Linked DNA regions of Canis lupus familiaris. The protein of the gene in region 1 interacts with the protein of each later gene in a pairwise test. Links are inferred from orthologs where the notes say so. Each region holds a gene or a part of one and is shown on either strand. Other genes may lie near its edges.

Evidence for each region. The genes of interacting proteins can lie anywhere in the genome.
Region 2: the proteins of RBSN (region 1) and EHD1 interact in binary tests that used the Homo sapiens proteins (3 or more experiments, as listed by UniProt). The link is inferred for Canis lupus familiaris from reciprocal best matches to the Homo sapiens genes RBSN and EHD1.

Annotation. Positions count from the first base shown.
Region 1 is NC_049241.1:5,247,519-5,251,094, forward strand, and holds part of RBSN (rabenosyn-5), read right to left. Parts: intron 2,435-3,576; coding exon 2,334-2,434; intron 1,435-2,333; coding exon 1,389-1,434; intron 1,275-1,388; coding exon 1,113-1,274; intron 1-1,112. UniProt on the Homo sapiens protein: Rab4/Rab5 effector protein acting in early endocytic membrane fusion and membrane trafficking of recycling endosomes. Required for endosome fusion either homotypically or with clathrin coated vesicles.
Region 2 is NC_049239.1:52,810,829-52,814,404, forward strand, and holds part of EHD1 (EH domain-containing protein 1), read left to right. Parts: intron 1-2,668; coding exon 2,669-3,081; intron 3,082-3,576. UniProt on the Homo sapiens protein: ATP- and membrane-binding protein that controls membrane reorganization/tubulation upon ATP hydrolysis. In vitro causes vesiculation of endocytic membranes. Acts in early endocytic membrane fusion and membrane trafficking of recycling endosomes.

The DNA.
Region 1 (3,576 bases):
AACGCTCAACTGCTGAGCCATGCTGGCATCCCTGCTGCTCATTTTTTTTTTTTTCCTGCTGCTCATTTCTTAAGACTCTGTTATAATATCCTCAAAAGTCTCAGCTGCCACTTCCAAGCACAGCTGACAACGATCTGGTCAGCTCTCCTGGGTATCTGATGCAACTTCTCTCATAGTGCTTATCTCTTTATAAAGCCATAATATGTTTCTAGGTCTGTATCCTCGGCTAGATGCTAGACCCTTTGGGAGAATGAATAATGCCTTATAAACCAGAGGTGAGCAGACATGACCTATAAACCAAGTCCAGCTTGCTTTTATATGGCCCCAGAACTAAGTATGATTTTTAAAAGGTTATTTAAATACTTTTATTTAAAAAAGTTTAAAAAGATTTAAAAAAATTTTTTAAGATTTTATTTATTTATTCATGAGAGACACATAGAGAGAGAAAGAGAGAGAGGCAGAGACACAGGCAGAGGGAGAAGCAGGCCCCATGCAGGGAGTCTGACGTGGGACTTGATCCCAGGTCTCCAGGATCAGGCCCTGGGCTGAAGGCGGCGCTAAACCACTGAGCCACCCAGGCTGCCCTTAAAAAAATATTTTTAAAAGATCATTTAAAGGGGATCCCTGGGTGGCTCAGCAGTTTAGTGCCTGCCTTCAGCCCAGGGCATGATCCTGGAGTCCCTGGATGGAGTCCCACGTCAGGCTCCCTACATGGAGCCTGCTTCTCCCTCTGCCTGTGTCTCTGCCTCTATGTCTCTCATGAATAAATAAATAAAATCTTTAAATAAACAAACAAACAAATAATCATTTAAAAAAAGAAGAAATGTCACAGAGACCACTGTAGCCCATAAAGCTTAAATATTTACTATCTTTTTCTGCCTGATAAGGGCAGAAAAAATTTGCCTGCCCTTATTATCTACCACTGTATCCCTGGACCCTAGCATCATGCCTGGCCTATAGCAGGCTTCATGGAATCAACAAATGAATGGATGAAGATCCCAAGGGAAAGTTACTTAAACAAAAACATTCAAAAGATCACCTGGTGGTGATTAGCAAACAAGCTAGTCACAAGAATAGATCAGGATCCACAGCCCCACCTCCATGTTACCTACTTGCAAAAGGGAGGCTGATGAGCTCCATACACTTCTTGCACATAATTGACCCGCAGAGGCGGCAGTGGTGGCGGCGGTTACGGATGCTGAACTTATTCCCGCAGTCTGGACAGAAAGGGACATCCTGGTCATTGACCCAAGGCACCACGGACTTTTCTATTGCTTTGGGAAGAACAAAACAAAAATCAAACAAACAGAAAACCTAGCCATTTTAGAAAGAGGTTTGGTCAGGGAGAAAGATAATTAGAATGAATGTGAGCAAAATTCTAGAGTTACCTCGTATCTTAGCAGACTCAGTATTTGTCCTGTCAAATGCAGTGAGCTGACAAGGAGAAAACAATGCCAAATAGAATTAAACAGGTGATGTATACATATTCCACAGGCAAGAGGCATCAAGCAAAAATTCTCACATCTTCATTTCTCAAGTATCATCTGTCATCCCCAACCCCGCAAATTCACATTGGACAGAGTATTAGCTTCTCATATAGAGGGCAGTTCCCTTCCCCTGATCTGATTTCAATCCCTCTATTGTCAGTTCTCCATTTAAGCAATAACCAGGGGTAGGCAAGGATATGGTGGGTGTGGCTAACTGAGAGCAATGGGGAACTCCCGACTCTCCACAGTCCTCATGGACAATGAAACTGGCCACATATTTCTACTCTACACTTGCAATTGCTACCATGCCCACCATACAATCCAGGTTATACACAATAAGCATTTCTAGGGTCAAAGTACAACAGAGTGATTGTAGGTGTTAAAAGACACACCCTGGTACCACAGGATGAGAAGGCCCAGTCCAGATGTTCCCATACTGAATGCTGGCCTGGCTGAGTACTCCTCACAGACCTTGTTACCAGCTTCTGTTTGTTATCGATATCACACACTATGCCCCCACTGCATGACTATACTTTAGACACTTAAAAGAGGAAATAACCTGAAGGTAGAAAGGTTTTCTGGCAGCCAAGGGGGCTTCAGAGAAAGGATAAGGCAATCTGGATATGTGGCAAGTCTATCAACATGGGCCATCTCCTACAGTAAAACAGGCCCAGGCTAGAACTGTCAATCATGTCCTCTGTACCTCTCTAAGTGGGCTTGAGGTGGGGCATTTCTCTGCCAGTGTCAAATATATACAACACACACAATAAACACTGCAGAAATATTTTTTTCTCCTAGAAAATGTATACTTGTAGCAAAAAAAAGTTTTAAAACAACAAAATTTACCTTCTCTAACCTGATTATTAATTTATTGACTTCAACAACATAGTGGTCAATTCTAGCAGCTCGGTGTTTTTTGAAGTCAGAAAGATGGCTTCTTACAGCACCTAGGACAGGAAATGAGATAAATAACATGTCATTTCTCTGAGGGAGCCCTTCTCCCTTGCTGTTTATCCTCAATGAATTTTATTTTTTTAAAGATGACCTTGTATTTTTAAGATTGTACTTTATTTATTTAAGAAAGAAACAGAGAGCTCAAGCATGGGGAGGAACAGAGGGAGAGGGGGACAGAATCCCAAGCAGACTGTGCTGAGCACGGAGCCCAACATGGGGCACAATCCCAGGTCTTGGAGATCATGATCTGAGCCTAAACCAAGAAATAGACACTTAACCAACAGAGCACCCAGGCACTCGGGCATGACCATAGATCTTAACTTTTAAAATTTGCCATCCATTTAACCTTCCACAATTGTGACTTCCTCAACAACCTGAGGAATTTAATTCTGGCAATCACGAAACAGACTATTAAAAAACTGGTAAGAATTCACATGCCTGAAATTTCTCCTTTATGTTTCAAATTGACTTTTTTTTTTTTTTAAAGATTGTATTTATTTATTCATGACACAGAGAGAGAGGCAGAGACTAGGCAGAGGGAGAAGCAGGCTCCCCACAGGAAGCCTGATGTAGGACTTGATCCCAACCCTGGGATCACAGATCACAACCTGAGCCAAAGGCAGACACTCAACCACGAAGTCACCTAGGCGTCCCTCAAATTGACTTTCATCTATAACTCATTATTATATGTATACTACTTTTTAAGTATAACTAACATGTTATATTATATTAGTGTCAGGTGTACAACATACTGATTTGAAATCTTTTTTAAATTTCAAGTCATCTCTATATCCAACACAGGGCTCGAACTCACAATCCTGAGATGAACAGTTGCAAACTCTTCTGACTTAGTCAGGCACCCATGATTTGAAAATTTCTTAATTTTTTTAAATATATATTTTTAAAGATTTTATTTATTCATGAGAGACACAGAGAGAGGCAGAGACATAGGCAGAGGGAGAAGCAGGCTCCATGCAGGGAGTCTGACGTGGGACTCAATCCCATGTCTCCAGGATCAGGCCCGGCTGAAGGCGGCGCTAAACCGCTGAGCCACCAGGGCTGCCCTGAATATTTCTTAAATTTTATTATTACTATTATTATTATTTTTTAATAATAGTCCTGGGATAGAGTCCTG
Region 2 (3,576 bases), on another chromosome or scaffold:
TTTTCCTTTCAATGTCTTACCCCAATGACGAAAGCTGGCCCCTAGCCTCAGAACCAGGCTGGACTTTTGTCACTGTTCCTGACCAGTAATGCTGTCCTAGGCCAGTTAGCAGCCTTCCTCCTGCCGTGGGGCCGGTGCTAGGAGCCTGCTGTGGTACCTGATCTAACCCTCCCTGTGGTCATAGGAGGAAGAATTGTTATTTAAATTTTACAGAAGTAGAAATGAGAACTCAGAAGTTAAGAACTTCAGATCGCAGTCAGTGGCCAGTGCCGGGAATTGACTCTAGAGCTGTCTTGTTTAAGAGCCTGTGTTCTTTCTGAGCGCTGAAGTGTGGGGAGAAGCTTGGAATGCTGTGCATTCGGGTACACAGACAGCTCTGAAGCACTTAAACCTGGGGGGCTTTATCCAGAAGGTTTATCCATCCCAGCAGACCTTCACCCCCTAGACATGCCCCAGTGTTGACTTTGGTCTTAAAGCCCTTGTGAGTGAGAGGGGCCTAGTTCTGGCCCAAGTGGAAGCAGCCTCTCAGGGACTCTCCTGTGGACTTGTCTTCAGTCTGCGAGGCTTGGCAGGACCAGGAGCAGCTGAATACCACTCTGATGACCAACTCAGCAGGTTCCTCACCGGCAGGGTGGGGAGGGCTGCCCTCCCTCCTCACAGCACTGTGGTCGCTCTGTTCTTTTATTTGTTCTCTCCTTCTACGTGCTACTTTCCTGTAACCCGCGGTCTAGAGAGTATGTCTCCATCCCAGTTTGGTCAGGAGTAGTGGCGTGTTTTGTGAGGGATGCGAGCTAGAAGCAGGCTGTCAGGGGGAGGAGGTTGGTCTGGTCCCGTTTCTGGGCAGCATCTCGGGCTCTTCTCTATAGCAGCAGCTTCTCTGGCTTACTTTCAGGAGCCTGACTGCACTCTGGGATGAATTTGTGCTGGTTAAGAGGGCTGGCCTATGCTTGAGGTGGCCTGTGGGTAGTGGGTGAAGAACGAGGAGGAGCCCAAGGACGAGGAGGCTTGCCCAGAATTACCCAGAGAGGAAATGGCAGCTCAGGGCCTTCAAACCAAGCTTCCCTAAGACTCTCAGGCTGTGGCCATCACATGGTCTTCCTATCTCTCCTCATCTTTTATTCCTAAAAGGTGAGAAATAGAACCATCACTTCTTCTGGAGGCAGTGGTGAGAAGTAGAAACATTTTAAGAGTTGTGATTATAAAACAGGATACAAACTAAACTGCTGTTAGAGAGACCCAAAAATCCATGGGCTTAAATCAGTTATCAGATCATTTACGTGGAAAATAACAGTCCAAGGCCATCTCTGAACTCAAGGTGGTTGCTCCAGTTCCTACCATCACATCTGCATTCCATTCTTCAGGAAGGGAGAAAAGCAAAGGGCACATAAACTTCTTTTGTTCATCTGCTGCAGGAGAGGCTAGGAAATGTGGTCTTAAAAGGAGGGGCCCTGAATTCAGCTGGAACTAGGCTGTTCTGTTATTAAAGGAAGAGCTCCAGTTAGCAGTCTGTGCTATAGTTGGCCACGTCCACTAAAAAGGGCTTCCAGAGGATGGTGGGAAACAGCATAGAAGCATTTAAGACCTAGAGAGGGGAAGTGGTGTGTCACACTTTCTGGCTTGTCATAGGGCAGGGGCCAGCAAAGTTTCTGAAGGGTCAGAGTTAATATCTTTGGCCTGGGAGGCCTGTGGTGTGTGTCACAACAACTGGACTCTGCTATCTGAGACAAGAGCAGCTGAACAGAGGAGTGTGGCTCTGTTCCAATGAAACTAATTTATGGGGGCACCTGGGTGGCTCAGTGGTTGAGCATCTGCCTTTGGCTCGGGTTGTGGTCCTGGGATCGAGTCCCACATCCAGCTTCCTGCTCAGCAGGGGGCCTGCTTCTCCCTCTGCCTGTGTCTCTCATGAATAAATAAATAAAATCTTTAAAAAAAGAAAAAAACAAAAAAAAACACAACTTATTTACAGAACAGGTGATGGGCCAGCTGCAGTTGGCCAGCCCCTGTTGTGGAGAATAAATGAGGTTCCTGGAAAATGGGGGCCCAGCACAAGCACCCCACGAGTAGCAGCTGCAGGTGTTATGGCTGTTCCTTACTGTCCCTGTCATGTAAGGACATCCAGCCAGCAGGTGGCAGACCCCAAGTCTCTGTCCTTCTCGCCACACGGTGCCGAGCCACACTGCTGCGCTCTCCTCTTCACTCTTGACCTGGTCTGAGCTACTTTAGGGCTCAGACTTTGTGACAACTTTTATTTTTTCCTTTCTAAGATTTTATTTATTTGAGAGAGAGTGAGTGAGCACAAGCGGGGGCAGGATCAGGAGATGGAACAAGCAGACTCCCCGCTCAGCAGGGACCCCATGTGGGGCTCCATCCCAGGACCCTGGGATCATGACCCAAGCCACAAGGCAGACGCTCAACTGACTGAGCCACCCAGGTGCCCCTGGGCTTTGTGACTTCTTTTGCATTATTTATCTGTGGCACACCTCTCCTTGCCAGGTGCTGTATGCGCTAGGGTACCGAGTGGGCACAGAAACGGGGGAGCAGGAGGGTGCTGTGCTGACCCCTTGAGTATGTGGTGGAAATTTAAATAAATACCAGCTTGGGTCCGGGAAGAGAGCCATCAGAGCTGCCTGGCCATGGTGCCCCTGAGCTCACCCTGCTCTTCCCGTAGGTTACGACTTCGCAGCTGTCCTGGAGTGGTTTGCTGAGCGGGTCGACCGCATCATCCTGCTCTTTGACGCCCACAAGCTGGACATCTCTGACGAGTTCTCCGAGGTCATCAAGGCCCTCAAGAACCATGAGGACAAGATCCGTGTGGTGCTGAACAAAGCCGACCAGATTGAGACCCAGCAGCTGATGCGGGTCTACGGGGCTCTCATGTGGTCCCTGGGGAAGATCATCAACACCCCCGAGGTTGTCAGAGTATACATCGGCTCCTTCTGGTCCCACCCACTCCTCATCCCTGACAATCGCAAGCTCTTTGAGGCGGAGGAACAGGACCTCTTTAAAGACATCCAGTCTCTGCCCCGAAATGCTGCCCTCAGGAAGCTCAATGACCTGATCAAGCGGGCACGGCTGGCCAAGGTAGACTAGGAGTGGGGGGCTGGGCCCACTGCTGGGTGGGGCCCACGGGGATCCAGGACTGGCACTTGGGGCTCTAGGATTGGTCTGCTTTGGCTTTTGGGGTGCCCAAGACCCATTCCCACAGCTACACCTGTGTGTGCTGTGTCTGAACGAGTCCTCTCTGCACCAATGGGTGTAGCCCTTGATTCTCAGCTGAGTCTTCTTGATGCACGCAGACATTCAGCGGGAAGGTAGCGCTGTGCCCAGGGGCAGCCTGAGAAGTGGGGTGCAGGCGGGGGTGCAACTCCAGTCCTCACCTCCCAGGCCTGTTGAGCCCTCAGCCTGTGCTGGGGACACAGTGGGGACTGACACACACAGTCTTTGCCCTTCCAGCACTCATTGGTGGCAACGGGAAAGTGAACACGTAAAGAAAAACCAAGCTTGGTTTATTTGTCCTGTCATGGTATGCCATAGAAGCCGGCAACTGGGGGGCCTCAGGTGGGTGACGCTGCATAA